Linked DNA regions of Arabidopsis thaliana. The protein of the gene in region 2 interacts with the protein of the main gene of each other region in a pairwise test. Each region holds a gene or a part of one and is shown on either strand. Other genes may lie near its edges. The genes, in order: AT5G44090 and AT1G05860.

The links.
Region 1: the proteins of AT1G05860 (region 2) and AT5G44090 interact in a two-hybrid assay, tested with the Arabidopsis thaliana proteins (one large-scale study listed by BioGRID).

Annotation. Positions count from the first base shown.
Region 1 is NC_003076.8:17,738,143-17,755,833, forward strand, and holds AT5G44090 (Calcium-binding EF-hand family protein), read right to left. Parts: upstream 10,384-17,691; 5' UTR 9,768-10,383; coding exon of another isoform or gene 9,618-9,767; 5' UTR 9,453-9,617; coding exon 9,198-9,452; intron 9,110-9,197; coding exon 8,870-9,109; intron 8,519-8,869; coding exon 8,413-8,518; intron 8,311-8,412; coding exon 8,211-8,310; intron 7,760-8,210; coding exon 7,654-7,759; intron 7,535-7,653; coding exon 7,444-7,534; intron 7,094-7,443; coding exon 6,952-7,093; intron 6,655-6,951; coding exon 6,507-6,654; intron 6,395-6,506; coding exon 6,285-6,394; intron 5,854-6,284; coding exon 5,697-5,853; intron 5,596-5,696; coding exon 5,470-5,595; intron 5,263-5,469; coding exon 5,122-5,262; 3' UTR 5,109-5,121; intron 4,970-5,108; 3' UTR 4,624-4,969; downstream 1-4,623. Other genes in the region: AT5G44080 (Basic-leucine zipper (bZIP) transcription factor family protein), read right to left, coding at 645-1,592; ckl7 (casein kinase I-like 7), read right to left, coding at 11,312-11,617, 11,703-11,836, 11,937-12,000, 12,093-12,178, 12,276-12,402, 12,500-12,584, 12,676-12,739, 12,825-12,886 and 6 more; ABCI21 (P-loop containing nucleoside triphosphate hydrolases superfamily protein), read right to left, coding at 16,080-16,340, 16,419-16,505, 16,590-16,726, 16,806-16,857, 16,942-17,102, 17,380-17,530.
Region 2 is NC_003070.9:1,762,418-1,776,827, reverse strand, and holds AT1G05860 (INO80 complex subunit D-like protein), read right to left. Parts: upstream 7,843-14,410; 5' UTR 7,768-7,842; coding exon 7,190-7,767; intron 7,066-7,189; coding exon of another isoform or gene 6,972-7,065; exon of another isoform or gene 6,869-6,971; intron 6,744-6,868; coding exon 6,479-6,743; 3' UTR 6,425-6,478; exon of another isoform or gene 5,945-6,424; 3' UTR 5,542-5,944; downstream 1-5,541. Other genes in the region: ARI12 (RING/U-box superfamily protein), read right to left, coding at 58-162, 275-471, 553-643, 744-843, 941-1,173; AT1G05870 (hypothetical protein (DUF1685)), read left to right, coding at 3,600-4,089, 4,295-4,374; POM1 (Chitinase family protein), read left to right, coding at 8,711-9,098, 9,317-9,476, 9,578-9,995; AT1G05840 (Eukaryotic aspartyl protease family protein), read left to right, coding at 10,678-10,910, 11,068-11,197, 11,280-11,527, 12,234-12,461, 12,713-12,875, 12,951-13,024, 13,200-13,287, 13,409-13,484 and 2 more; AT1G05835 (PHD finger protein), read right to left, coding at 14,126-14,410.

The DNA.
Region 1 (17,691 bases), on a different chromosome or scaffold from region 2:
ACTTAAATGTTCATTGTGGCCATCAATATCTTCACTTGACTTGATTATCTAATCTCTGGTCACAGCGAGATGCAGTGACACAAGTGCATGGAACTGTAACTGTTGGAGCACGTCAGAAAGTTCTTAACTTCAGGAGCTCTTATCTTATCTGGAAGCTCATCGAAAGACTTCTATTGTCGAGATAGTTCTGTTAAATGCATTGATGCCTGGGGTTGAGGAAGCTAAAGTGACAGCAGGGATGGTAGTTAATACCAATAATGAACAAGAGGTTGGCCTATTGGTGCCGTCAACCCAATCTGTCACCAAAGGTTCTGAGTATGGTCCAGAAGCAAAGTACATAGCAGGAAACGATGTCATCACTGCACTTCTGTTCGCTTTACCTCCACAGACATGGATAAGGACCAAAATCCAGATCTTTCAGAACAAAATGAAGAATCTCGTTTCCATTGGTACCCTCTTCACTATGATCAGCCTAAATAAGATCAATCTCAGCAAAACCAATAACATATGCAATCTAATATAATATATAAGTTATTAACCATAATCATTACACTCTACTGCAGATTATGAATCAACTCTCACACACACATACACAAAGTAAGTAACATTAAGACCCTAAAATCCTCAAAAGTCTATACCTCTTATCACCATTCCAAAGACCGAATCCTGCGTAAAAACCGTGGTGGCTGCTGCTTCGGTTTCTCAACAACAGGAATCACAAACTCCATCAACTTCTGGTATCTCTCTTTCCTCTTATCTTCAATCTCCTTAGAAAGCAACTCATTCTCTTCCTCAAGCTTCGCAGCCAAAGCTTCTAACTCAACTTGATAAGCTTGTTTCCTCTCTCTAGACCTAGCTGCAGATTCACGATTCTTAATCATCCTTCTCTGTCTCTGTGCAGCTGCTTTATCCAATGGCTCAACCATCACTCTCGCTCTCTTCCCTCTAGCTCCTCCTCCGTAAACATCTAAACCATTCCCAAACGCAACTATTGATCCTTCTACTTTATCAATCATCTGAAACGGATTATGCGGCGGTGCAGAATGATCGAATCCGTAATTCGTCACCGGAATCTTCACATCCAAATCCTCCGCCGACGCCGTCACCGCTGTTTCGTCTTCCACCGCAGCTTTCGCTAGAAAATCCTCTAACGTCATTATCTCTTCCGACGTCTCTTCCTTCATCCCTTTACCTTCTCCTGATACCATCTCTCTCCAAATCTCATCAACACTCTTCCCACCACGCGTCGTCTCCGTTCCTCCGCCGTGATCCACAACATCAGAAGCCGTCGTTGTTGTTATCTCCATTGGTGCTGGAGAAGCATCCATCAGATTTATCGACGCATCTAAGAGTGAAGATTCCGTTGGTGCTGGTGGATCTGATGCGAAAGTATCGTGTAAAATCCCTTCGACCGTCATCGAATTTGAACTGTATAATCCGTCGTTTCTTCCGCCGTAACCGACACTTGTTAGATCTCGCCGGAACTGTTGTTGAGGTCTTATAGACGAAGAAGAAGTAGAAGCAGAAGAGATGCGACGAGATAGATCCGAGTTTCTCGAATTTGAAGAACGCATCACCTGAAACGACGTCATTTCTGGAGAAGATGATGAACAAGTTCCGTTTGTTTCGTCCTCTTTCGCCGGAATCGGATCAGAGAATCACTCTGTTTCTTTGACTCCGCCAAATGTTGAACTTTACAGAAGCAGAGATTAGGGCTTTTTGTGTCGAATTGAGAACCTTTGAGAACTTTTGGTAATTTATCCCAAATTGTAATTAATTGACTTTTATTACTTTTTTAAAATACCACGCGCATATGTGGCACGTGAGTTTTAATTTTTAGACTTACCAAAGAAAAGAGCTGATTTTGGTAAATTGGATAAGGTTAAAATCAAAATGGATAAGATTTTCTAACTTTTGGAGCGCGTGGGAAGTTTTGTCGCGTGTCATCAAACTGTAGTTGTCAAACTTGCATCAATTATTTCAAGATCATTAATGTATTATAACTTGACTATTATTACTTGAATTTAGTTAAGGTAATTTAATGACGTTATTTTAACTCGATGGTAGTTGTTTTTAGAGAATATTACACTGTAAGATATTTTTTAAAAAACATTTTTATGGTTAGACACTTTTTAAAGATAAAGCATTTTGAATAGATGATTTGACTCATTTATCGTCTAATCACATATCGTTTTATCTCTCTCCTTCTCTTATTTATTCTCTCTTTTTCTTTTACTTTATCGAGAAATAAACAAAAATCAAGCCAAAAAATAGATTTCTTCCTTTTTCCTTCTTCCATCTTCAACAAATCATCCGCTTTTATGAGAAAGAGAGATTGAAATTCAGCTTTTTAAATTTTCCACATCTGCTTTGATCTGACTTGAAGGAGAATTTTTTCAAACCATCAATTTGAGAATCTGCCCGATCTGGCTGATTTAGTTACATGACTCGTTGAATAATTGAATTGGATTTGCGGTTTGGTTTTTGTTTTATGTTTTTGTTATTTGTTGCAAAATTAATCTGATTACTTGCTCTTTAATTCTTTGTCTTTCTTCTCCAATTTCATATTCGAGATTATTCTCTTAAATTGGAGATTAAAGCCTCGCAGTGGACTTCGAATTATTTGATAGCAATTGTCGAATCACTAATTGATGGAACTCGTTGCTTAGTCCATGTTCTGTGAATTTGATTCATGATTATATTTGAGTTGTATATATTCAGAAAATCTGGTTATCTTATGTGTTCATCATAAACGGTTTATAAGTTTTTTGATGGTTGATTCACTTATTGAAGAACCTTGTTGCTAGTTCTGGTTCTGTGAAATTGATGGAGATTTTAGCTTAGATCTGAGACTAATTTTCATTCACAGATGTTAGACTGATTTCTACGTTTGTGTTTAAGATATAGATGTTAAAAATTTGGAGCAAAATCGAGAAGATCATCTTAACAGAGTTAAATGAACAGATCTCTGTGGATAACGATTTCTGGACACGTTATTCTTTACTTTTTTATCTCAAAATCCAATCGAGAAGATCACCTTAACAGAGCTAAATGAACAGACCTCTGTGGACAGCGATTTCTGGACACGTTCTTCTTTACCTTTTTATCTCAAAATCCAATCGAGAAAATCATCTTAACAGAGTTAAATGGACATACCTATGTGGACAACGACTTCTGGACACGTTTTTCCCTTGAATTTGTGATCATTTATGTTATATCTTGAGATGTTCTGTATATAAAATCAAACTTGGACTTGTATTTTAAAACCTTAAAATCCAATCGAGAAGATCATCTTAACAGAGTTAAATGAACAAACCTCTGTGGACAGCGATTTCTGGACACGTACTTCTTTACTCTTTTATCTCAGTTTACTTGAACTTATCTCTAAGTTTTTTGCTATCAAATTCTATGGCTTTTGAAAAGGAATGACCCTGTTCTTTTTGTAATCGATACGTCAGCGATCGGCGACTGATTTTTTTTTAACTTACTTGCGTGTAATGTATGTAGAGACTAACAGGGGCGGACGCAAGTGTATGAGTACTGGGGCACGTGCCCCATGCAAGATTTGATAATTTTGAAGTTTGATGTGCAATTTGTATTGGAGATGAAAGAATTCGTTTGTTGTGCCCCATGTTATAGTGATTTTTTTTCTAATCAGTTGGTTATTACTCATTATTTTTACTATTTTCAAGTAATAAATGTTTTCAGTATTTAACTTATTTTTCCAAATTTATCTTTTTCTATAACTCTTTGAAAGAATTATGCTAATACAAGGACACTTCAATTTTTTCTTTTTCCATTTACATGTCTTTTAAAAAATGTTTATATTGTATTTTATTTTTAAAATTTATATGTTAGCTATGTTGTGCCCCAGGTTAATTATGGTTCTAGATCCGCCACTGGAGACTAACATCATCATTCTCATGAAAAGAGTCGCAACGACTATAAAAGTGATCGCCGTTTAGTCTAGTGATGCCGACGATACCAACATCTCATGTAAAAGTGGTCGCAACGACACCCTTACTATTTATTCTCCGTTTTCTTTAGAGAGGCTTCTCCGTAAAGAAAAATACAGAAGCTACACGATCTTGACAAACTCTCAAATGTTTGATTTTGCAAGGAAAGAAAAAAAGTAATAATGAGAAGAGAGAGAAAGAGAGTGAAAAGAAGAAGCGACGAAGAAGAAGAAAAAAAAAGGAACGTGGAAAGATGAAACTTTTTTTTTTTATTATAATTTCTTAATTTTCAGAGATAAATTGGTCAAAAGTTTAATGAAAAAGTTGGAAAAGTGCTTCATCCGTGACAAGTGCCTCAAAAAGAATAAAATTCTTTAAAAATGTCTAAACGTGTCAAATTCCCTTATTTTTAACCGCCATAGAAAGTGAGTTCATGCTTGTTAAAACAAAATGCACGACTTTTTAACACATCTTCCAAAATATCATATTGACAAACAAAGTTTTAATGATTCTTATACAAACAAATAACCAATGTCGGCTCAAACCAATCAAAAACTGATATATAGTATATAATTTGATTTGATATTCTATAGTTTATACGAGAATTGTAGTTGATATCATAGGCACAAATTTGCTAATGAGGAAAAAGCAAAAACAATGATCATGTAAAACAAGTTTCAAGGTTTGTAAATTTCTTCCCACAAAAAAAAGTGTCTTTGTACATAGTTCTTTCGATTTTAAATAAAACCGTTGTTGTTGGTTCCACAAAACACTATAAAGCGGCGTATATAATAATATACATAAGATTGAAAGAGGGTCCAACCTGAGAAACCTAAGCAAGACAAATATTTCATGAAACTAACACAAGCTTACGCATCGGATAAGTCTCTTGGTCGCCAATCTCTAGGTGGAACCGTGGAATGGACTGGCTTTCGTGGTTGTCTGTCTGAAAATTGTTTCCGAGGCTCTTACCACCCAAGAAGATCTGACTTCTCCCTCTTCTTCCCAAGAAACTAGTAAAAAAAGCAACGAAAACGGCTTTTAATACGTTTAATATACCAAAAGATACAAACTTGTAACATTGAGCACATCAATTTTGCTATTTCATACATGCATAAGGAACATGATGCTGACCAGTGTTGAACAAAGTACCTCTTACGAGTCACTAAAATGGAGATTCGAGTGGTTCATCCCAAACATCTGCACTCCCATTCGAGACTTCCTCCACATCTTCCTCCATTGACAACCTCACATACTCTCTCTGAGCAAATCGGTCCCATTCCGTCAATGTTGGATTCTCACGTTCCTGTCAAATGGAAAACAAAGTTGGTTTAGAAGTAGCAGAGACTGGAACAGATACAACCGGCTGCAGTAGTAGGTGACTATCTGAACTTATAATAATTTTTGCGAATTTTTATGGCATTAATAAATATTCAGTAGTAACAGTTTCAACAGCTAAACGAAGGATTGAATAACCAAAGGGAGGAAAACTCTATAGAAAACCTATGTTTACCTGACGAATGAGAAAAGGGTCACGGGTTTCAAACGCCATGAATTTGTTCAGGTTAAAGAGTATATTGAAAATATTTCCAGAAAGTTTGGATGCTTTCAGATCCTGGAGTGTGATGCAGTTCTCCTTCTGAAAGAGTCATTCGACAAATTGATGATGCGAATAAGAGCAAAGGAACAGACAAGCCAGGAATATCAAAAGACCATGTTATGGTTTAAAAGAAATTTTGCCTCTGGTTTAATCATGTCGAATATTTGACATAGGATATCTTCAAAGAGTACAGGTTCCTGGGTTATACATTCCATGCGATGCAGCTGCTCTTCGTAGAAAAACTGCATCTCGTTGGGAGTGATCACCCCATCTCCATCTAGGTCTATGCACTTGAACCTGCAAAGATGGTTTTAATCAATATCAAGGGAAAACGAAAAACAAAAAACTGCCAAGAACCTGTGTTTAACATCGATGGGAGATAGATGAGCATACCAGCGAGGTATGCCCTCATATCAGCGGTTCAACTGAAAATGTTCTAGATTCATGAGATGATGAATGAAAATGTTCTAGGTTCATGAGATGATGAATGAAAATGTCTTAGATTCAAGATGGGTATCCTATGTTCATGAAATAATAGTACTACTAAATGTTTAGTGCGTTCAAAATATCAGGTAGGCTTGTATCATCAAGAAGGCCACATATGCCACAAGTTTTGGCTCAGAAGTTATACATTTATAGTGACATACTGTGAGCTAAGCAGCTAAAGGACAAAATGGCTAAAGAGAAGTCACTAAAGACAAAAAGAGAAGAGGGGAAGAGACATGTACCAATACTCAAGACTAGGCTCAGATGACTTATCCTCCTCAGCGAGAATAAAGTATGCAAAATCTTCATAACTCATCTTCCCCTCAACTTTGCTTGTAAATTTCCTAGGAACCTGAGTGAGAGACAGCCGTAATTTCAATTAAGAAAGAAGGAAACACACTCCATAAGATAACAATTAAGTTTCGAGAAAAGTGTTCATTAACATTTTGACAACTGGAGCCAACCTGTGAAAATATTCTGTCGACAATCCTGTAGGTAAGGGCATGATTACCATATTTGATGAGATTTTCCTTATCAATAAGGAAATCATGGTCGCCATCGAGTTCCCAAAATCTGCAGTATATCACGTAGAAATGCTCATAGGAGAAGTACCTGAAAAGTAAAGAAAAGGTCATATTGAATGGTCAAATCATGCATGATGTCTTGCCACAGTATCACAATATGAACTACCAATACACTTCTTCCTCTTTATGAGTTTTATGGGTAGTGCTTATGTCTAAGAAACAATTCGAAGACCTATGCACTACCCATATTACTCACAATGCTACACACCTTGCTGAGCTTGAATTCTTAAACAACTTAAAGTGGTCTTTATTATACAAATAAAACTAAAATCTTAATCTTTTTAACGTATTGTTTAAGAAATAATGAAAAGGAAAACAAAGTCACCTAATAACTTTATTGATGTCGTCTTCTTCATCAACTTGTTGCATGGCAGTAATAAGATTCCCACGCTTCAGCTCTCTAAGAGTAATGCAACCAGTACCTGATCTGTTTATGTAGTAAAATATTCTGTAGATGACGGTCTCAGCTGGGTTGACGGAATAGAACACAGAGATGAATGAAACAAGCACGGGAAAAATTATGAATTAGTCAATAGATGTATAAAACAGTAAGCACCTGAAAATATACTATATTTAAGAAGCATCTCATAATTTTCAAAATGTAATTATAATGAACAAGTACATAGAATTAAAATTAGAAGAATTATTGCCTAGGCCAATCAAGCCAGCTAAAGATGTCACTTTCAAGTTCGTCAATGCGTTTTGAAAGATCATATATATATGGAAAGAAATTGTACGAACGTCTTAGTAGAAAACAGACATTCTGGTAGAACTATTTCACACCATAACATCAATGTATCAAAAACCAAGTTCTTACCATATCTTTCTTGAAACTCAGGTGTATTCCTCAGGAATTCCAAGCCGGGATGAGTTGTCAGAAGCTCATCAAGAACTGGTTTGAAGTCAGCCTATCCCAAATCCAAAAGAAGACATTAGCCTTCAGGACTAAAGAAATCAAGTGAGACAATAATCATTGGTAAACAAATCAAAACAGCAGTGAAGAGCTGGGAAAAGAAAACAAAGAGACCTGTCTAAGGTACTTGCAACCTGGCTGCCTTAAAATATTATATATCTGTGAGGCTACGTCCATTGCCAACATATGTCCATCAACCCAATACTTGATAAATGCATCCCTGCAGGAACCAAATATGGTGTATTTAAAAGATACTAGCTAAACAGAAAGATTACAGCTGCTGTATATTTCTATGATATTACTCATGATTTGGCTAATTTAAAGATGTATCAATTCCAAACAATATCTACAGGGTAGAAACTTCAATATTACTTATCACAAATGTTCTAAACAATATATAAAATCGAGCACACTAAATTTATTGAAAGTAAAAAGAAATTATATTCGAGTGGCATAAATAAATAAAAAGATAACAATCAGGTATTAAAATTACTATGCCACATTCCATTTCTTTTAAGGGTGAGCAATTTATGAAACAAATAGCTGAGCGTGCATCTGGAAATCCAGACCAATGTGATCTATTATTATATTACATGAAACACATATGAATACCAGTGGATATATACATTTAACTACAATTACATATGAAAAGAAAGAACACAATGATTTACCTTGTAACGATACCGGTGCCACTCGTGTCTATCTTTCTAAATAGTACAGAGGAAAGAAAAGAAGGCAGCTTGCAGACTTCTTTAGTAATGGATTTGAATTCTGCAATTGAACAATAGCAAGAATGTGTTTGTAAGATCAACTGTTTGTCTATTCATTACAGAACGGGACTGTGATGTAAAAAAGCTTGTATTTAAACATCACCATCCATATGAAGTCCGTCTATATAGTTACTAAAAAATTGATCAACCATGGATATACATTGCTCCCTTAGTTCCTTCGCAGGTGGACGTCCATGTTGGAAGTAAAACTGCATAGCATATCAAGGCATAGAAGCGTCAAACAAGAATGTTGAACAATATTAGCTAAACCCTTCAACTATGTAAGATGTCAAACGGATGACCATAATAAACTTACTTGTTGTCATCGTTTTGTTAAAAAAAAAATTGTACCTATGCTACTTGAACGAAGAATTTAGTTTCTATTGTATTTGTTCTCGTGGTTCTCCATCTACTTAGAAAACTATTACAGTCTAGTTTCAACAATTACGTGAGCATATATAAAACAATCAAATCATGATGTCAACTGTCAAGCAAGGTAGTGCCTTCTCATGTTGTTTGTAAGACATCCATATGAGGAGCAGTTGGATAAAAAATCGAACCTGTGGAATGAGTTGGCGCTTTGGTTCCCTGACTGATTTCAGAGGAGACTGTAGAGAAGGGCTTGTCTTTTGCCTCGAGAAACGGGGAGACCCAGGTGAGCCTCGTGGGGATAGTGGGGGAGTGCCGCTGTTCAGAAAAACAGATGGCAATGCACTCCCGCAAGCAACATTGAGACTAGTACAATTTTTGGATACACTGACTGGGGTACTAGATTTAGTATCATCAATTAAAGACTTGACCTGCACAAACATCACACAGATGAACTGTTAAAAGAGGACCACGTAAAACCTTAAACGAAAAACAACCACCAAAAGTTTCTTCACCAACATGAGTCGGCAATCGGCATACAACACTGGACCATATTCTCAGGAGCTTTAAGTTAAATCTGGTACTACACAAATACAAACACTTCTCAAGTTTAGCAGAGCCTTGTAATATCCCAGTACTATTATCACCTAAGTCATTATAACCCCTAAATGTGCTATTCAAGCACTCTTTATCTAACACTAAGTAAAATCTATAAGAAATAAACAAAACTACTAAATATGCAACAGCCGAGGATTCAGTAAGAGCAATAAGCATGTTGAATCTTGCTCTGCAGAAATTGACTTGAAATCAGATAAAGTCACAACAAGGACTTACGAACAGGTATCAGCATATACATAAAACAGGCGCCAACTATTAAATGAACAAGAAACCAAACGACGCTAAGGAGCCACTGAGCCAGAGGCTTGGGAATAAAATTACCAATCGGCCAGTTTCAGGAAGTGAAAGCCACTGGGAGAAGAGTTCTTCAGCAATATGAGGATTTTCTTTAAGTGATACAGGAGACAAACCGGGAAGCTGCAAGAGCTCAGGATCCAAAATCTGAACATCGTTTCCACCATCGATTTCCATGATTATCTTCTATCTTATTCACTGAGAATCAGAACTACAACAAAACCCCAATATCGGAATTCCTTGAGTCAATTCTAAAATTGGATCGAAACCCTAATTTCTTCCAATAACTTGAAGCAGTAACTCCAAAACAGGATTCTCAGACTTTTCAAAGATCTATAAGCACGAAATCCAAAGAAAATTCAATAAAAGCAGCTCTGACCAATCGAGAAACTCTCTAACTAGTTGAGAAACACCAGCTCGAAGAAGAGAAACTAAACGAAAACCAAAATAAACGATTCGATAAACCCTAGATTCCCAAATTCTATCAACAAGCAAAACAGAGTCCTATACAAAACTTCTTCTGCAATTCAAGCACAAACGTGGAAGAAATTGGAAGATCCAAAGAACACTGATCTCTCTCTCCGATCAATAACAAGCTCGACGACGAGAGGAAGTCGTAGAGAATTTTTCCAGGGAGATTGTGTTATTGATGAGAAAATGAATTAAAAAGGAAAAAGTATTTAATTTTGATTTTAATACTCTCTCTCAGTCTCAGACGCAGTAGTACTAGCGGTGGTGGTGGTATTTTTGTTTTCCACTTTTAGTCCTCAACGTTGACCAAAAAGTCAACCAAATCCAGCGTTCTTTATCCGTTTTTGCGATCATGTTTATTTGAGTCTCGAGTCAATTAATAAATCGCAGAAATTAGCGATCAAATTGTTTGTTTGGTTGTTAAACTTCATGACGTTTCGACTGTTATCATCAAGATTGCAACTGATTCATTAAAGTCATAAAAATGTGACTTCACATGTGTAAACCTAGTTTTGAAGAATGATGATGAATATTTGTCATTTCTCAAAAATTGTATTGGAGCACTTGCTTTTTTAGTCGAAATGCAAAAGTATGTAGGAGTAGATCATATGAATCTAAAAATGAATGTATTTTATATGTGTAACTTCAATATGAAATTCAGTTTTGCCACTTTATTCGAAGATGAGCGCTAACAAAATGTGAAGAGTTTAACTATAACCATTCAAGTATACGATCAGTGAATAAGTAAACATTTGAAGTATGGAAAAAATAAAAATAAAGAGTTTTAGATTGGAGTCATCTAAAGTATGATTTGACTAAGTAGATGAGCTAATTTTACTATTAAGCCAAAATTTCACCGTTTTTACATGATTTGACCAGAGTATGCCTGCCCCAAAAAAACAGAAGCATTAAAAGAGACCAAAGAGCAGTTGATTGTTTTGTTTATTACAGTACCAGTACAGATAGGTTCGAAGTAATCGAATATACGGATAGAAATTTTACCGTTTTTACATGGAAACTCTCTCTACATTTTTGATTGTTATGTTTGTCTAACACATATCACGATTACATAAACAAAACGAGTGAAAAAGATCTCTGCAAGCTGAAGCTGAAATTACATGTAAAAAGATCTGAGGATTTCATCAGGTTCAAATATATGAATTCCCTCAAACCAAGATTCTCATCTTTCTTCAGAGGTAATTTCTTTGGGTTTTCATGGAGTTTGCTGTCTCTCTCTCCATCATTTTCCTTTATTTCCGAAGAGAGAGAAGCTCGAAGCTTCTTAATTGATCTTCCCGAGTGTTTCTTGCCGCTGTTGCACGAGAGAAAGACAGAGTCTTGGATTCATATCCAGCTTGCACTCTCTGGCTAGTTGAGGGACGGCCATTTCCACTGCCGCTGCCACCACCACCGCTTGAGGAAACCAGACGACTTGAAGTTCGGCTTTCGCTTGGTCCACCTGCAGAACTTGGCCGGGAGCTTGAAGCAGCAACGGCTTTCCTAGAAGAAGATGCTCTATATCTTGAGGAACTGTTTGCTCTTTCGGAGTCTCCATGCTGCACAAATAAAACAAACACAGTTAGGTCTTTGTCTTATTTAGCGGTTCTGATCAACAATGTATGTAAAGAGTAAGATTTTTACTGTCTGCTTAGAGAAAGGTCCGTCGTCTGAGTTTCTTGATCTAGAACGATCTCGAGGCGAAGAAGTTGTAGTCGGGTGTCTTCTGGAGAATGCCTCCACTGCACCTGGGATTTTATATCGGGTTGTTTCCTTTCCTACACGAATGGTAAATAAAAAAAGAGTAGAAATTAGAGTGAGGAATGGATGTGTATGGTTTTGAGATTTTTAATAGAAGTAGGAAAAGCAGAATTTTACCTAGGATCCTCTCTTGTCTTTCAATAGGATCTGCGTTGAATCCGGGTTTCGCTGTTGTATGATGCTGGAAAATCCAAAGATTTACATTTACGTAAGTACAGAGAAACTCAAAAACCATGAGGGTAAAAACACAAGTATAAGATTTTTAATAATCACCCTTGTTCGTGAACTAGAACCAGAGCTGGATCCGATTTGAGGATACTTTAAGACTGTCCAGTCAAATACATAATCGAATTGATAACCTGTAAGAGTTTCAACAATATGAAAAAGATAAGATGAGAGTGGCTTGAAACAGTAAGCGAATAAAATTTCTCGGAATAATGATGTTAAGATAAGAACCTTCTCGGATAAACAAGTCACGGAAAAGCCTCTTGAGGTAAGAGTAATCAGGTTTGTCATCAAACCGTAAAGATCGGCAGTAATGAAAGTATGAAACGAACTCGGACGGTTGGTTTTTACACAATACCTACATCGAAACATTCCAAGCTCAGTTAGAAAAGCTAGATTACCTACCAATGCCAAAATGAAAATCCTTTCGGTTTGTCAAGTTGTTGTAACCTAACCTCTATAGGAGTTGACACTTTTTTCTCGCTGATTCTGTCATACTTCTGCTTCTTTGTCCCAGCTTTTAATCCCTGCCAAGGTAAGCTGATAGCCCAAAAAAACATATGGTTTAAACTCTGTTCAAGAAAATATACAGAATTTTACAGACTCAGGTAGAGAAGCTGTAGACGCTAACCTTCCTTTGAGAAAATACATAAGAACATAACCAAGTGATTCCAAATCATCCCTTCGACTTTGTTCTGTTTAAACATCAGCGAAAACTAATTAAGTATTTGACGGAAAATTTTTATGAATACATATAATTCCACAGATCAACACTCTTACCGACTCCAAGGTGAGTGTTAACACTTGCATACCGAGCTGTCCCAGTAAGATTTTTGTTTTCTCTGCCAAAATATTAGAAATTTCCATTGAGATCACGTAAATCAAGATGCAAAAATGCAGATCCTTGAGTAAGGATAAAGGAAAAAGGGAGAACACAGCATATTCTTACCTGTAAGGAATGTGCTTGTGAGTCTGAAGGTCTCTGTATTTCTTCCCTAGTCCAAAATCAATGATATACACCTGAGATATAAAGAGAGATAAGTTATCTCAGAAGTTTGAGACAGAACCCGCCATCGCAACTACATTTAATGTATAATCATAATATGTCCAAGAACAAGTTTTTGCACCTGATTTGCTTTGCGTCCAAGGCCCATTAAAAAGTTGTCAGGTTTTATATCACGGTGAAGGAAACCTCGAGTATGCATAAACTCAACCCTGTTAAGCTGAAACATAAACAGATAAAACAATCTCCTCCATTACAAACAAATTCATATATTCAGTGAAACAGAAGAGCTGGAAACCAGTTAGCAGATCCATAAACTCACTAATTGGTCGGCAAGCATGAGAACAGTTTTCAATGTTAACTTTCTGTTGCAGTAGTTAAACAAGTCTTCAAGACTAGGACCTAGAAGGTCAATAACCATTACGCTGTAGTCACCTTCAACTCCAAACCACTTGATGTTCGGAATACCAGCTTCAAAACAAAACAAAGCAAAAACTGTTTTAGTTATTTGCAAAGAAGCATATGCAATGAATCATCGCGAATCGAGAAAGTTCTACTATAATGATAATGCTAGTTTGTAAGTGACACTTACATCCTCCTTGAAGCAGCATATACAACTTTGACTCATAATGAAGTTGTGGATGTTTGGTCTTCACATTTTCCTAATAATTGGCATCAAACAAACGGAGGGTTAAAAAAAGAGTAAAGAAGCAAATCCAAAGCACACAACAACAAGGGCGTCTTTAATAACAAATTTCTCATAGCCTTCATGTGACAAGAATTATACAAACAACATCACATGAAAGTTGCAGCTGAACAAAAAGAACATTTCTTTGTTTGGCATAGAGAGATTAATGTTGTTGATAAATGTGGTAAATTCTTACCAGCTTGACAGCAACTTCTTCTCCTGTTTGGACATTTACACCTGCAAAAATCCCTCAACATTAACAACATGTAAAATTGAAGAAATCTACAAAATTTACAAAAAAAAAAAAAAAAAAAAATCGTCTACTTTGTTACCTAGATAAAGCTCTCCAAATGATCCACTACCAATTTTCTTCCCAAGCTTAAATTTCCCACCGATCACGAGATCCATCTTCTCCGATCTCTCTCAAACCTCAAAATTCCCAAAAATCGATATCAAAAAGAAACCTCCTTTTTTCGTTAATTAGCCCCTGGATCTGTTTTCCAATTCAGCATTTAAAACTCAGATTCACGGATTTAACATCGAAAAACCCTTCAGAGATTGAGATTCCAGAAGTCAATTCTTCATCAACGACCTTCGAAAACAAAAACCCACCATGAAATCAATAAATCTCCGAAAACTTCATCGCAAGAGACCCGATTGCCAAATTGATTAAAACCCTAAATCAGATTTAGAAATCGAACTAATCCCAATACGAAAAGCACAAACTTTTAGATGGATTTGACCCGAGAATTGGGCACGAAATATTGGGTAAATTGGTTAATACGAAGAGAGACGAGAAGAAATGGAGATTTGTGACATTTTTTTGTCGTGCCTTTGTGTTTTTTTTGTTTTGGGTTTCCTTTAGAAAAGATTTTTTTTTATTTATTGATAAGTTAGGTTTTAATTATTTTTACAGTCGGATAAATTAACAAAAATATCCAGATTAAGGTTTTGTGTAGGAAACAAACAAAAAAAGGTGTGTGAAGAGGGGAACAAAAGTTAATATGGTGGTTTTTTGGTTTTTGATATTTAGAGGTTAAGCGTGACATGCTCTAACAGTTGTTAAATTTTGCAAAAATTGTTTTTACACTAGTATTTTAATATTTTTTATTGTGTTACAGCAATTTTTGTGTTGAAAAAGAAAAACTATAAACGCAAAAGGCAAAACATGTACATGCTTTTCTATTTTTATATAGTTTATTAAAAATAAAAGTAAAACGTTAAGATTTAGTATTTATTTAGATTTCTCTACTATGAGTAGGTATTTCGGTTTAACTTCGGGTTTAGGTTGGGTTCGATTCGATCGGATATTTTGCCATGCGAGTGTTAAGAAGGATCCGCTCCAAACCAAAATTTGGACATAAACAGTTAAATATTGAGTTAATTTCAAATAAGGCATTTGTTTTATAAATATATTTGCTTTTAGGCACTTTTGACCCAGCATTCAAAAACAGGTACTATCACTACGTGAAAAGTCATCTTTCTCCCTCATTCACTAGTGTCATCTTCTCCACACGTTCTATTTACTCACTCGCAAAGGACGAGACATGTGAACGGTTTCAATCGTTGAATCCTCAACGTTTGGTTATAATAGTTTATTAAGTTAATGCAGCGTTGAAATTGGAATTCAGAAACTGATCAAAATGGAATATCTGGCCGATGAAGATGATGAATAGAGAAATGTCGGTATCAAAAACAATTTTGATATTCCATGGCGATGTCTGATTCCAAATTTTATGATTTCTCAAACAAAAAGCCAATTAAGTGAAGTTTAAAGAGGAATCGAGATGCCTTTGCGTTGATTTAGAATTCAATTATAATTTATGGGTTGTTGTTCAGTGGCATAATTACACAAATACACATGTATATACATGCATATATACACAAAATCAGAACTGAAATTCCATAAAATCTATAAAATTTTTTGATTGGGTTCCCTATATACTATCTTAAGGTTTAATATTGTGTAATTAAAAAAAAAAATTAAGTTTGCTTGAAAAATTAAGAAGAAATCGATTTGATCAGATTCTGCAACTATGTTCGATGAAGAAGAAGAGAAAAGAAGACAAGGACAAAATTGTCCCAATTGAAGCAATAAATCGATACTGTTACATTCAACTGTCTAAAATACCTATTTTGAAATAACTTTATTTAAAATGCCTATTTTGAATATAAGCTCTTAAATATTGGCAAAATAGTAATTTAATTAAAAACGTGGTTTTACAGAAATTCTTTCATGTGTGATAAAAGTTATCGGATTCTAAACAATGAAGTACCATAGAAAACAAAGGCATCTGTAGAAGCAGTGCTCTTATTCTTACTGATCTCATAAACAAGTTAAGATTCATCGGTAATATGCCATTTGTCTAGACGACATAAATGGAGAGGTAACAACAGGTTTCTTCTTCGTCTTTTTCTCAACTTTGGTTTCAGACCGGAGCCAAGCTTCAACAACAGATAGCAGATTTGGTGAGGTTTTGAGATCCTTGATCTCATCTAACTTGGCCGAGAGTTTCAGCTCTCCTCCATTAATGTAAGCCAAATGACTAGCCCATGTCTCGAGCCCGTCGAAAATATGAGTTGCATATACAATTGTAGCTCCTCTCTACTCAAATATAAAACATGAAAATCAGCATTTGATATTTCTAAACATAAGATGAGGGGGGGTTAGTGAATGGCTTACCTGTTCACATTCTTCTTTAAAGAACTCCAACAAATCCATCCTAGCAACAACGTCGAGGTCAACAGTAACTTCATCCAGTAGTAATACCTGTGATCATTACAATTTAAGTATCAGATATGATCAAAGAAAAAACAGAGACCACAATGAAGAGTTGATTGTTGTTTATACTACCTTGAACGGATGTAATAGACCCATACATATTTGCACTCGACGTCTCTGCCCATCAGAAACCTTATGCATACGCCATTGAAGATTGATATCAAGAAGATCAATCAACTTCTCTCTTCTGAAAGGATCAATCCCTTCAACTAAACACAAAACATATTCAGAGTATAAGCACAACGAAACAATTCACTAAAAACTCATACTAGGATCAGAGAATCTCACCTCCAAATATCATATGTTCTGCTGAGAAGTCTCCTTGGAGTGGAATATCACCCTAAAGAATTTTAAAGAATTAGAAACAAAACGTTCTCACATCAAAACTCTTGCAGTGTATTAACTTTGAGATCTCAGTACTCACAGCAGAACCAGCAGTTTTACTCCATGATCCTCCTAGGTAAGACAAATCACCACTACAAACAAGCTCTGTATCATGAAATGCTGAGCGATCAAGCACTTGTACAACATTCTTTCCTCCAACCATATGTTTTCCAGCAAGAATCTTCAATAACGTAGTTTTCCCTGTCAATGAAACGCGCAACGACAATCACCTTCTCAGCAGAATCAATCAAATTCGAGTATTAACATGATACATATAGTCGAAAAATCGATCTTACTTACTCAAACTCTATACATATAGTCGAATTCGACGAATTAAACCGAATTCCAACACTACCAAAACAGAATCACACGAAATCACATAATACATTCTATATTCGTCAAGGTCCCAAATCGATCTACTTCAGATTCACAGAAACAGAAACACACACAAAATCGAAATGATTCGAATAATTTTTACCAGATCCATTGGCACCAACCAAGAGGCAACGAGATCCAGCGGGAAGATCGAGATTAAAATCGAAGAAAATAGGATCTTGAACATCGTAAGAAAACTGCATTCCACTAACCCTAATTGCACCGTCCACCGCGCTCGCATTTTTCTCCGCCATTTTTTCCGATCAAAGAGTCAGATAGAGAGAGGGAGAGATTAGTAAGTAGTAAAGTATAACTCCTCTGCTTAATCTGTTGGCCTTTAAATACGTTCCGTTTTAAACAAAGACCTTATTAGCCATTAGATTTCGGCCACGTTATGTACTTTTCTGTCCATTAG
Region 2 (14,410 bases):
TATATAGTAATAGAAAATGGTTTCAAAACAAAAGGATTCAAGCTAAAAAAAACTCACATTCCAACAGAATCTAACCAAACGGTGACAGGAGACACTGGCATTTCCAGAACCTGGACTAAGATCAATGGCGCATCTAGACCCCTGGATAGGATGCCATTTCATCTAATGAATGTCAAAAAAAGAAAAAGCTAAATAAAACCTTTTAGGCAACAAATGGTTCAAAGTGATCTCTATGATCTATCTAACGTTGTTTTCTTTAATTCCTTGTCATTACTGTTTCTCTGTTGTCAACGTAAGATCTAAGGAGATATTGATTGTAATTGAACTTCTCTCTCTTGGAAGCAAATCTCTCAATCGTATCTAGACCAACAGAAGCTGGACAAGAAGCGTGGAGACCAACACGAACAGGACATTTCAGCCAAAGATTCCATTCAGCAGCTGGCTTTTCACTGATGATTTTGTTGATATGGCCTATACATTACATGTCATTTATCTAAATAAGAAGGAGTGATCAGAAAAACCATTTTATTCAAACGAGATATTAATGCATACTTGTCCAGCAGCGAGTGCATATACGATGACCACAAGAGACCGATGCCAAGTTCTTATGTGGGTGTGATTCGCCACAGGCTCCGCAAAAATACTATCCGAACATTAAGGGATCTTGTATTAACTTAGAGTTGGAAAAAGAAAGAAAGTAGAATTAACAGAAACATTTGGATTGAAAGATTGTTGTTAATTACTTCGTTGTCATCAGAAGGTGGATCAAGCTCCAATAAGCCGACGCTGTCTCTAACACTTTGAGCACCAGCAGACCATTGTTTACATATACAATCAACATTCCTAAGTACATAAAATATAAGAAACAGAGAGATCAAGAAAAGGGGTTGCTTGTAGAAGAAGAAATTCAAATCTTAAGAAAAGAAAAAAAAACATTTACCATCTTAAGTGAGAAAGCAGAAGTGTGGCTTCAGCTTTGGAGAGGGAAGTAAAATCTGAAACACTTTGAACGTCAATTTCCATAAGCGCTCGAATATCTTCCTCTGTCAGAACAGTTGCATAATTCCGCTGGACAGATTTTTTTCCGGTCTGACCATCTTCTAAAGCTGCGTTGACATACGACTCATCCGCCTCCGCATCCACCTCCGATCCGATTACAGAATTATTATCCATACAAAAATACAATGTGAGAAGAGAGGACGTTTTCTCCTTTTATAGAATTCAATTGAAGAAGACCAAGTCGTTGACAAGGGTGTACAATTCTCTTACTTTTGTGACAAGCAATCTTTAAGTTTCTCAGCTTTTACCTTCCATCTTCCGATGTCTTTTCAATAAGTTCAAACACTTGTTCTACTTCCCCTTAAACAAGAGTTTACCAAAGACAATTGGGAATCGTTTTTAAACAATAAAATGGTTGACAGGCGATCTATCTATGGTAAAATTAAATGTCCAACTGTTTACTTTATTTAAATGATTGTTTTGTTCCTTATCACATTTGCTAATTAATACTATATAGACTCTATGCTTAAAGCCTTCAATCTAGTAAATACAGTTTAATGTTATTATAGTCATGACACTGATCATATCAATTAGTTCTACTGTACTAGAGATCACAAGTGAAATTATCACCGCTTCACATTGATAAAAGACTAACCTGGATTTCAGTCTAAAAATATCATCTAAGAAAACCATATAGAATTAAATAAAATATTGAAAAAGTCATACTTATTTTTTAATCATGCATGCAATTGGGAATATTATATGGTCTCCGTTAGCTTCCTTGTAAGAAAGAGTCTCACAGAGAGAATATGAATAGAGATGCAAGAAAAGGAAAAATCAAGGAAACTACATCTCATCTCAAGTAAACCAAAATGTAATTTTTATGACAATATAATAATAGATAAGTTAACGTCAACTCCAGCATCTCAACTCTCAAGCTGAGTCCGTGTAAAATTGAACCGATCGTCCACTATGACTCACGGAATCTACAACTAGAGATCATTAAAACAAATGGGTAAAACACATTAGATTATCGGACTCGTCTCACCATGTTGATTCTTCGAAATAACAACACAAGTACTCCATTCTTTCACATAAACATAATAATGTTAGTATTTATTTAGTTGTATACTGTGTTGTGTCTTTATGAATTGTTTTATCTTTGTTTGGTGTATCAAAAGTGACGTGTGTAAGTAAACCTTTAAGGGGCTAAATGAAGAAAAAAAAGCCTAAAGCGTTAGATCATGTGGATCCTACCAGTGCGATCTCCGTGATGGCTCGCGCCTCCCAGCCTCACACCACGTACGAGTGCAAATTGTGCAAAATCAATTATACGCTTTTTATAAGAAAACATAAAAGGGGTCTCTTTTTGTTAATTAATAATTATATATGGTGACTTGTAAACTGAATAATGGTGATACTACTAGTAAGCACCGATAAGAAATACGAACATCTTTAATAATGTGGTCATTTCCAAATAAAATGATTCGAATATGCCACCCTTGCATTTGTTGATCTCATCATCACTATTGATTTTCTGATCTTCTCGATCTACGTTGATTTTGTACATATGAATAATACCATGAATGAATACCTAAAAGTTGATTATGTGTCTGATTTCAAGCATACGAAATATTAGTGTTGTTAGTTTATCCAGAATAAACAAATAAATATATATGCCTTGCATGGCAATCTTTGGTAAAAAACCCAACATATATAACAAAGAAAATAAGCAATATTATTCTTCTAAGAACATTTCATTTATAAATATGCATGGAAAAGGGAAATAATGTATAAAAATGTGGTCATATGTATTTCCAATGGGTCATGGACCTCATGGTGACCATATATAATGTAGATGAATAATTGTGAGGTGAAGAAGAATAATGATGGTGACTTTGTAATCTTCTCCTCCCACTTAAATTATTGAGCGACAACGTGGCTTTTTGTTGGCCCATATTCATTCGTATCTCCCATCTCTCCACTCCTTATCCACCACGTGTCCCCAGCTGCAAGACCAACTGTGTATATCTTTGTCACATCCAAGTCGTTACAATGACAGTGTTTCACATTCATAAAGGTTAATTATCATCTACAGTTTATGACAGTTCTATGATTATATCTGTTATAACATCATATCATCATATACATGCAGTCCCCTGTGACTATAGATGACTATAACATAATTTTCTCTGAACAATTGTACTGTTCATTTAATTGTTTCTGATTTTTTCCCTAACATGTTAACTTCTACTATTAAATAAAACTTTAAAATAAAATTTGAGTTTAAAATTAAGTTTTGTTAAAAGATTAGTATTTGGTGCCTTTGATGGATCACATTACCAATTTTAGTCATCTACTTAATTTCAAGATACATATTTACTTTTTGACAATTATACCCTAATTGTCGGGGCTCACTAATTTTAAAACGACATTAGTCACGCGAGAAGATGCCAACCCATCACATCATCATCATCATACATCGCGGCTTTTATAAGTAAACAAATCGACTCTTATGTATTTCTCCCGACACAACACAAAGTTCATATAATAAGAAAAACAGAGAGAAACACACAGAGAGCTAGAGGAGAGTGAGTGTCATGGGTTGTGTTCGCTGCAAATCATCAGATCCATGGCAAACATCTGCCAATGCCTTTGAATCCGTCGATGAATCCGGAATCAACGAAGCCTGGGTTGAGATCTCCAGCCGCAGATCATTTGTCGCCGGCGAAGGTAGTCGGAAGAAGCTAGAGAGGAAGAAGAGCCAAGTGTTACTGGAAGGTTACGTTGAGACTGCTTCTTCTTCCTCGGTGGATGATCAAAAGGACGATCTGACGAGATCCAAGAGTTTGACGGATGACGACCTCGAAGATCTTAGAGGTTGTTTAGATCTAGGGTTTGGTTTTAGCTACGACGAGATCCCTGAGCTCTGCAACACTTTACCTGCTTTGGAGCTTTGCTATTCAATGAGCCAGAAGTTCTTAGACGATAAGCAAAATAAATCACCGGAAACTTCGTCGGTGGAAGATTGTCCGTCGCCTCCACTGGTCACCGCCACTCCGATTGCCAATTGGAAGATCTCTAGTCCCGGTAAATATCTCATCTTTCCATCGATTGATTCGGTAATCTAAGTTCAATCCTAGTTCAAAGTTTGTTGCTTTAGTGTTAAACAAGAATGTGGAATATACCGTTTTCGTTACAGAGGCCACAAATCTGACTTTGAGAATTGAGATGGCAATAATTGGAAAATTGGGATATGAAGTCTGAATGTTTTCAATTTTGTTGTTGGTTACAGGTGATAATCCGGATGATGTGAAAGCTAGGCTCAAATACTGGGCACAAGCCGTTGCCTGTACTGTCCAATTGTGCAGCTGAATGAATCATTGTCACGTCTGAACCAGGAATACTAGCGAATGAGCAATATCTCAAGCATTGGTAGCGGAGGAGGAGATTTCAGAAAGTGGCATTGGAAGGTCTAAAATTGAACTGAATATCAACAATGGTTCTCACTTAATTCCATGTATGTGTACTAGTAGTTAGTAGTATCTAGTCTAATGATTTTATGAACGGAAATAAAAGATATCACTTGAATAAAACCATCAAATTCTTTCTCATTTCCCTGCTGGTCTCAGCATCTACAGCTTTAACATCTGACATCTTAATAGCTCGATTCTTCTCCTTATGCAGTAGTGAGAGCATTCACTTCACTTAACTGGTCATGATTCCGCTGAGGTAACTAATCTAACTGTGTCTATTAAGTATTAACGGAGTGTGATGCAATTATACCATTCTGTGAACGGATTATGTGTTAAGCTACTGTGTAAAGCTTATTACATGTGAGATATGAAAGCTGGAGATTGTTGTCCTTGTGCAGTGCTGAGAGACTTTGTGTTTATGAGAGCTATCACTAACTGGTTATGGACCTCCACTTGCTGAGGTAACTAATCTTAACTTGGTAACTAAATCTACAACCCTCTTTATGAAGGTACTGACATTACTACTGTCCTCTGACAGTCTTTAACTCATTCCATTTTTGTGAGTGTGTGTTGAATCTACAAACCTTGTGGCTAGATAACCTAATTTGGTGATGCTCCTTAATCATTTCATGAAGAATCGAGTGGGACGAAGAGAAAGATGATAGACGCCAAATATTATGTGTTTCCATCTTTTTCGTTCTTCATCAACTAAAAGATGATGGCTGATTACAGTCCTAGATGCTCTATATGGCGACTGAAGATGAGTTATTTTCTGGAATTTAAGAGTGAGTGTAAATATAAGCTTAAACAGTTTCTGGTGACTGTTCTGTAATACATGTTAACGACTCCACTCAACAATAAGTCTTGAGAGAACCTAATCAATGAAATTCTGAACATCAAACTCGTGACATTTAAGAGTTGTTGCTCTAAAATGTATGATTTTTTATATACTCGCGCAATTCCAAGCCCTTTCCGAGTACGCATTGCTCACAAAAATCGGAAACATATGAATCAGTTTGCAATAAATCAAGTCTTAAATTCAGAGAACACTGCAAAAGCATAAATATTTAGATTAAGGAGTAGACAAAGGTCTCAGCAGGAACCACAAAAAAACATCGGTTTTTCACACAACCATGAAAGCTACCAGTTGCTAAAACATTAAGTGTGAAATTGCTAAAGAACCTACTAAAGAACCTAGAGAATACATTCCAAATAAACTGTTAGGAATTAGAAGTTTGCCACAGGAATTAAGTTTGCCTGAATTAAGTTTGCCTGAATCAAGTTTGCCACAGGAATTAGAAGTAAACTGTTAGGACTTCGGAAATCTACTAAAGAACCTAGAGAATACATTCCAAATATATCCTCATTTCAAGCTAAACAGCTTAATTAAACCATTGTGTCAATGTTGCTCCTCGCTTGATTGAAGCTCCTTGTAAGTTGTAACCTTGTAAAGGCACTCACAGCTAAATCTGTCAATTCATTGCAGAAGCAGGGTCGGTCAAATGGTATGCAGGTAGATTAACTGCTTGAATAGAGATTACAAACCTATATATTATAAACGTGGCTTGCTTCAATGCTTAAACAAAGGTATTGGGTTCAAGTCTAGCTAATCCACATTCAACAAGACAACAATAGATAATTACGAACGATCACACAGTATGTTGTTTGTTGAAATCCATGTCTACTCAGCTTAATGGAAATAAATAACTGTTAGCTCCAATCACGAAAAATAAAACGAAAACCATGAGACACATCCTAGAAGCTAGTCATGCTAAAAGCATCTTTGCTTTGCTAAGCTTAACAACAACAAAAAAAAATTCCTACCAACACATTCTGTGTGAACACGATCTACTACATTCTGTGTAGATGACTACCCTATCTATCACCAGTCAAACACGATCCTGTACCTGTCTTTCTCACTAGTGATGATAGAAAGCCAGTCATCTTACCTTCCATTTTTGCACAATTGTGGAAACAAACAGCTTCTGCTCACTCTGTTTGATTTAGCTTGTAAGTTCTTCTTTTACTAAGCTTTTCAATTTGCCCTCTTTTCGTGGATCTTTTCTTTTTGCTTGAATATGATGCACAAATGCAGCTACTATGTCATGGAGTTTCGGGGGAGGCCTGCTTGCTGAAGAAACATTATGACCAGCATCCTTCAAAGCTCGAGCAACATCCTTTTGGGCTTTCTGGAAGTGCACATTACAGAGGGCAGGAACAGTCGATGCAAGAGTTGGTTTTGGACAAGTTATTGCTTTCGACTGAGCTCTGCATGAACAATGTGACCACATAGAGTTAGAATAAAGCTGATTATATAATTATCACATGCTCATTGCACTCCGCAATGCAAAAATTTAAGTTCTTTCCAATCAGGGATATCAAAGCACAGATGACACAGACATCTCACATCTGCTCCATTTTTATCACCAATTTACCATAATAGCTAGACCACCATCACAGTAAGAACTTCATAATGATATAATCATGCAGACAATCCTAACTCCTATCATCTTCGCCCATTACGATACAAACAATGCAAAGTACTTTCAATTCCTCACCACGAAACAAAACCAAAACCAGTATCAAGGAACTGAAATTTCACAGAATCATAAAAACAGATTAGCATTTATTGAAGCACCTATTATTTCCTAATGCGAGAGAATATGATGCGAATCAAAAGGAAAAAACTATGAAACTCGAAATTGTGAACGAACCTTTTATTGACGTAAGTACAAGACGTATAAAGCTTCTGCTTTTTATCCATGAGGATATGAAGCTGACAGTAATTGGTGAGTGCCATGGCCTTAGATTTGCATCCACTACCACAAGCAACACAATTACCAGCCTTAACGCCATCGTTGTTGTTATTATCATTATCTCCGCTACCTTCAATTTCATCCCCAGTTTGTCCTTCAACCTTACGTCTCTTGTTTTGGTGATAATTCTCATCTTTGAAAGGACTAACACCATAGTTCCAGCTATAATATCTATGTTGTGCCTTGAGATCCTCCATTAGAGCCCAGTAATGGTCTCTGTAGCATCTAGAGAGCTGCTTCAGGTTGTGCGATCTGCGTCGGAGAAGCTCCGGGCGAGTGAGGTGATTGGAATTTCCCAGGATCTGATCCTCCACCGCCATCGAAATCGGTGAATTCGATGACGTCGACGGGTTATTAGGGTTTCGAAATTGGGATTCCTCCAATACACCGGATTTCGAGGGGGTTGAAGCAATGATCGGAGATGGATGCCTAGGAGGTTTGGAAGAAGAAGGGTTTTGCTTGGAAGCTGACGCCATTGTTACTGTTGGAAAACAAGGGAGAGAGAAAGAGAGTGGCGAAGAGTGGCTAGAGGAAAGACAAGGACGAGACAGGAAACTCTGGCAAAATTGACATTTATAGAAAGGCCTTACTTAAAAGCCCAATGGGCCATAACATGAACCGAAAACCCATGAAAAAAATCGAAGTAGACCGATTGGTTTAAATCAGGTTCTGCTGGTGTGCGGCTGTCGGTGGAAGGCTCCACTTCAGTAAAGTAGGGCCCACAACACGAACCAGGCTGTCTTGTCTAACCGACACATACATTACACCAAACGCAATCTTCACCGTTGATTGTTCTCTAATCCAACGGTTGATAGAGACTGCTGATCCGTCACCCGCTTTAGTTTAGTGTTTCTTCTTCCTCCTCTCTTTCCCAAGAATCTCTTCCTTATTTTCTCGGCAACGAAGCAAAAAGGGTAATTTTTGTCGGTTGAATTCACAAGCTAGTTTTCTCGATCTCTCTCTGGATCTATAGCTGATCTGCATTGCGGGTAAGCATTTTTTCCACAAGTACTTATGCCTAATTTTGGTAACGATTTAGCTAAATCTTGACTAGAGAATTTTGTTTCGTTGCTTGGTTATTGAATTCGTGATCTCACATTTGAAGTCTTCGCATATCTTATACATCAATCTCTCCAAGTTGGTATAATATTGGTCAATCTAACAATTTTTCTTAGTTTTTTCACTTAAGAACTTAGAGAGTTCCATGTTTTTGGTTTAATTCTTCCTTTGTTGTTTCTAATCAGCTTTTTGGCATTAAGTGCCTATTGTATAAGGTAGATCTGTATTGTTAGTAATTTGTGTTCTGTTTTCTTTATAGTAATGTTCAGATGCTTACTTGGGATTAATGGATGTTTCTAAATTTGTTTTTTTGTTGATGTTTGCAGCTTGTAGCTGGTATTTGTTCCATAGTTGTAAGCTATGGTGACAATCAGGAGTGGTTCAATCGTGATTTTGGTTCTGCTGGCTGTATCATTTCTGGCCTTGGTTGCCAATGGAGAGGACAAAACGATTAAAGTGAAGAAAGTGAGGGGAAATAAGGTGTGCACGCAAGGATGGGAATGCAGCTGGTGGTCTAAATACTGCTGTAACCAGACGATATCAGATTACTTTCAGGTTTATCAGTTTGAGCAACTCTTTTCCAAAAGGAACACTCCCATTGCTCATGCTGTTGGTTTCTGGGACTACCAGTCTTTCATTACTGCTGCTGCCCTCTTTGAGCCTCTTGGTTTTGGTACCACTGGAGGAAAGCTCATGGGACAGAAAGAAATGGCTGCCTTTCTCGGTCATGTAGCCAGCAAAACGTCCTGTAAGTTTTCCTTCATTTTAGTCCTCTTTCTACATAGTTGACCATCTAACTATGAATAGAAAAAAGGATGCTTTAAGCTTACCTCCATAGCTATACCATTATATTAATCTGATCAAACTCGACATTCAGAATCATGAAAATGGATATGCCCTAAGTTGCAGTTGGTGGTTTCTATGTTGTAAGAAGCTGCATATGAGTGTTACTGTGATGTCTTATAGGTGGCTATGGAGTTGCAACAGGAGGGCCTTTAGCTTGGGGTCTGTGCTACAACAGGGAAATGAGCCCAATGCAATCCTACTGTGACGAGTCCTGGAAATTCAAGTACCCCTGCAGCCCTGGAGCTGAATACTACGGACGCGGTGCCTTACCCATTTACTGGTACACATTTCTCTTCTACTTTGAAGCTCTAGATAAAAACTGTGTCAAACAATTTGCATTCGTCCATACTGAAGGTATTTTTACCTGTGTGTTATTTGAAGGAACTTCAACTACGGAGCAGCTGGGGAAGCCCTGAAAGCTGATCTCTTGAACCACCCTGAGTACATTGAGCAAAACGCGACACTTGCATTCCAAGCTGCAATCTGGAGATGGATGACTCCAATCAAGAGAGCTCAGCCCTCAGCTCACGACATCTTTGTCGGAAACTGGAAACCTACAAAGAACGACACTTTGTCCAAGCGTGGCCCGACTTTTGGCAGCACCATGAACGTCCTCTACGGAGAGTACACATGTGGTCAAGGTTCCATTGATCCAATGAACAACATAATCTCACACTACTTATACTTCCTTGACCTCATGGGTATTGGAAGAGAAGACGCGGGACCAAACGATGAGCTCAGCTGCGCAGAACAGAAACCTTTCAACCCTTCAACTGTACCTTCCTCTTCCTCTTCGTAAGTCTTATGATATATCGCCGTTGCTCTCAAGTCTCTCTTGCTTAATGTTACGTAATAAGTGAAATTGCTTGTGGTAAAAAAAGAAGAAGTGTGTTTTTGTCCCTCTAGAACTTATAATGCAAACAACATTACATTTTATATTTTTCTGTATGTAAAACCATATTTAATTATTGTATTGGAAGAATGTGTGTAAAATAGAGAAAGAGCAAGGAAACATAAATGTGGTTTGCGAATGATATTTGTTTCTATTCGTTTGTTATAAATTTGTTCACATGGTTTTTAGTCTTAAACTCATAACCTAATACTTAAATTAAGGAAACAAATTCCTATGATTTATAATTTTGTTACAATTGAAAGTTGAAACGACAAAAAGGATAATATAACTGAACAGTAAAATATGAGTTGTAACAGCGTCAGTAACACCTAAGTTTACATGTAATAAATTTACCTGAATGAAACCATAAAAATATCGAATTAATGGGTCGAAAGAAAAAGAAAAGTCCACGCTGGAAATAAAAAATAATAAAATACGGGAATTGGTGGAAGAAGTGACCAAACAAACTCTGTAATTTCTGAACTTCCTCGTCGTCGTCGTCGTCGCCGCCGGTCCGGTGGTTTCTTTCAACTTCTCCGCCGAGACGACTGACGCTGTAAACATCAGGCACGTGGGAAGAAGAAAGAAGATGACTTTATCAATCGTATCTTTCCCCATCTGCGGAAGATTCACGCTGATTTGGTTTCTCACTGCTCTTGTTTCCGTCTCTTGTAATCCCGGAGTGTTCAATGTAAAGTACCGTTATCCAAGGCTTCAAGGGTCCTTGACCGCCTTAAAGGAGCACGATGACCGGCGTCAGCTCACAATTCTCGCTGGAATCGATCTACCCCTTGGTGGAACTGGTCGCCCTGATATCCCCGGGTCAGTTTCAGATTCCTCTAAAGAGTTGTTATTGTTTCTTTAGCGTCTCTGATCACTGCTGATTTCGAGCCTTTTGAGAGGAATTTATGGAATCTCTAAAAAGCTGAGATTTTTGAGTTAACTTGCAGTGATCTCTCTGTTTCATTGTTTATCTCAGGCTTTATTATGCAAAAATTGGAATTGGAACACCTGCTAAGAGCTATTATGTTCAAGTCGACACAGGGAGTGATATTATGTGGGTTAACTGCATCCAGTGCAAACAATGTCCAAGACGAAGCACTCTCGGTGTAAGCTTTTTGTTTTGTGTCTCATTTACGTTTGCCTTTCGTTGCTCCAACTCAATGGGTGAGGTTTTGTTTCTCTATGCAGATTGAGCTTACACTCTACAACATTGACGAATCAGACAGTGGAAAGTTGGTCTCTTGTGATGATGATTTTTGCTACCAGATTAGTGGTGGTCCTCTCTCTGGCTGCAAAGCTAATATGTCTTGTCCTTATCTTGAGATATATGGAGATGGTAGCTCTACTGCTGGTTATTTTGTCAAAGATGTTGTGCAGTATGACAGTGTAGCTGGTGATCTCAAGACTCAAACAGCTAATGGCAGTGTCATTTTTGGGTATGTTTCCTTTTAATAACCTCGCTTTACATGACTTATCTTTAAACTAGTAAACTGCTGCAACATGGTTCTTGCGGCTTTCTTAGATCTTCTTTGTGTTCTCACTTCTCACTGAAAAGAACACAATTTCACCTTCCTTGTGGTCAAGGTTTTATTTTGTTAAGTGAACAGAAAAAATAAGAAATGGAAAACGCTGTTACAAAGCTTAATTGACCAACAGTTTTCAAAGTGCATACAAAAGCCAAACAGATAAAACTTAATTGCTTAAAGAAAAAAATCTTGAGATTCGTTGAAGTGCATACTGGTATCTATTCTTTTTTATTTTGAAAGTAACATGGGAATAGGTTCTCCACCATATAGTGAATATCACAAATAGACCTTTACTGAATATGTTGTGCTTTTGATTGTGACAGTTGATTAGTTTGCTAAGGTATCTTCCCGAGCACAGCTCATTTCATCTAATTTCATATGCTTCTACACGTTGAAAAACTTAGTAATTTAGAAATATCATATTTATACAATATTTATATTTTAGTTTTGTATCCTGGCCTGAGAATTGCTGGTCACGTAGAAAATCCCTCAGAGATCTGTAAACAAAGTAGAATAGTTGTCCATTAGCGTTTTATCAGTCCTACGGCAAGGAAGCTTAATCCGTCATTCCTCATTGCCTCTTCCATTTTTTTAATGTTTTTATATGATCTTGAAGGTGTGGTGCTAGGCAGTCAGGAGATCTAGACTCTTCTAATGAAGAAGCACTTGACGGAATACTTGGATTTGGGAAAGCTAATTCTTCCATGATTTCCCAGCTGGCCTCATCAGGGAGAGTGAAAAAGATATTTGCTCATTGCTTAGATGGAAGAAATGGAGGTGGTATATTTGCTATTGGACGTGTTGTGCAACCAAAAGTAAACATGACACCATTGGTACCCAATCAGTACGTCAACATTGTTTTCCTTTTATAATGTTTTTCCTTTTATACTTCAAATACAATCATAAGAAGCTCAATGATATACTGGTAGAGGCAGCCACTATGTTACAAATAGTAGAGTGAAACTTCTTGCAGTTCTTATTTAGAGAAAGAAAATAACATTAGTGTACTTTACATGAAAGCTTCGTCTGAAATGGTGAATGTGTTCTTTCTCTAGCTCTTTTTTGTTAACCGACTTTTTTTGTTTTCAATTGCAGACCACATTACAATGTCAATATGACAGCAGTTCAAGTTGGTCAGGAGTTTCTAACTATCCCAGCCGATTTATTTCAACCTGGAGATAGAAAAGGAGCGATAATTGACAGTGGTACAACCTTGGCCTATCTTCCAGAGATAATCTATGAACCATTGGTGAAGAAGGTACAGTTCAAGAAAATATCCAGTTCCTTTAAGAAATTGAACTGCAGGGTCTCATAAATCTGGTTCTTTTATTAGATAACCTCGCAGGAGCCTGCTCTAAAAGTTCACATAGTGGATAAAGATTATAAATGCTTTCAGTACTCTGGCAGGTTAGTTATACGTCTTCATTTAATGATTTACACTACAAAATTTTCAAATAGGCATCTGCCAAGAATACCGTTGGACATCATTGTGGATGGTTTGCATGTACGCAACTGCTCATTGTGATGTCAACGTATCACACAATAGTTTTCTTGTGAAAACCACATCTTACCTTTGCTGCAGAGTTGATGAGGGGTTTCCGAATGTCACTTTCCATTTCGAGAACTCGGTTTTCCTCAGGGTTTATCCTCATGACTATCTGTTCCCTCATGTAAGCATCTTCAGCCTTTATGGTTGATTTTTGGCTCTTGTAATATTCTTGTTGCAACCTGATTTTACCCTCAATCTTTCTATCCATTGCATACCAAACTCATAACCCCAAAATTTCACAGGAAGGAATGTGGTGCATTGGTTGGCAAAATAGCGCAATGCAATCCAGAGATAGGAGAAACATGACACTTTTGGGAGGTACCTTAAATTGGATACATAGTTTGCAGTCACATTATACAAAAGCATGACTTAGTGACAAAGTTTAATTGCATGCAATTCAGTTTGTGGAAAAAGCCCATTGTGTTCTCTTGCTGTCAGTGACAATGAACCCCGTGTGATTTAATCCAATGCCCACAATATCTTACATTCTCTTTTGCAGATTTGGTGCTTTCAAACAAGCTTGTTCTCTACGATCTCGAAAATCAGCTCATTGGGTGGACTGAATACAACTGTAAGTGCTATATTCATACACTCAAACGATTCATGTCTCATTGTGAGTGGGAAAGATTTCGAATTTAAAACTATTTTATCTTTGTTTTATCTGTCTTTGCAGGCTCATCAAGCATAAAAGTAAAAGACGAAGGCACAGGAACAGTTCATCTAGTAGGCTCACATTTTATCTCTTCTGCATTACCTTTGGATACCTCTATGTGTCTTCTATTTTCTTTACTTCTCCTCATGACTCTTTTCCTCCTTTAGAGACTCCTTATAGTTTATCTTTTGTACATAGATTCAACATTTTGCTAAAATGGTAAAGAAAAAGGTCTGATATATAGATAATACGAAGAAACCCAGCAGATTGATGATGACCATTTTATTGATTTAACTAATTTATTGATTTACTCGCACTGAAAAGACCAAGAAAGAGGTCGCAGAGCAAACTGGTGTGTGTTGGAGTAGTTGAAGGAGAGAGTCTGCATTGGACTCAGTGGCAAGCCATCGTTAACCACACAGTTTCCGGCGGAAGAGGAGAGAACACGGAGGAATGTGGGGTCCACAAGCGACTGAGGAAATCCTTGACATTTCAGACGAAGGTTGATGATTGGACACATGGGACATTTGTTCATTACCTCGACTCTGAACTTCTTTCCTTCTCTCCACTTCACCTGCGTCTGCCTCACCGC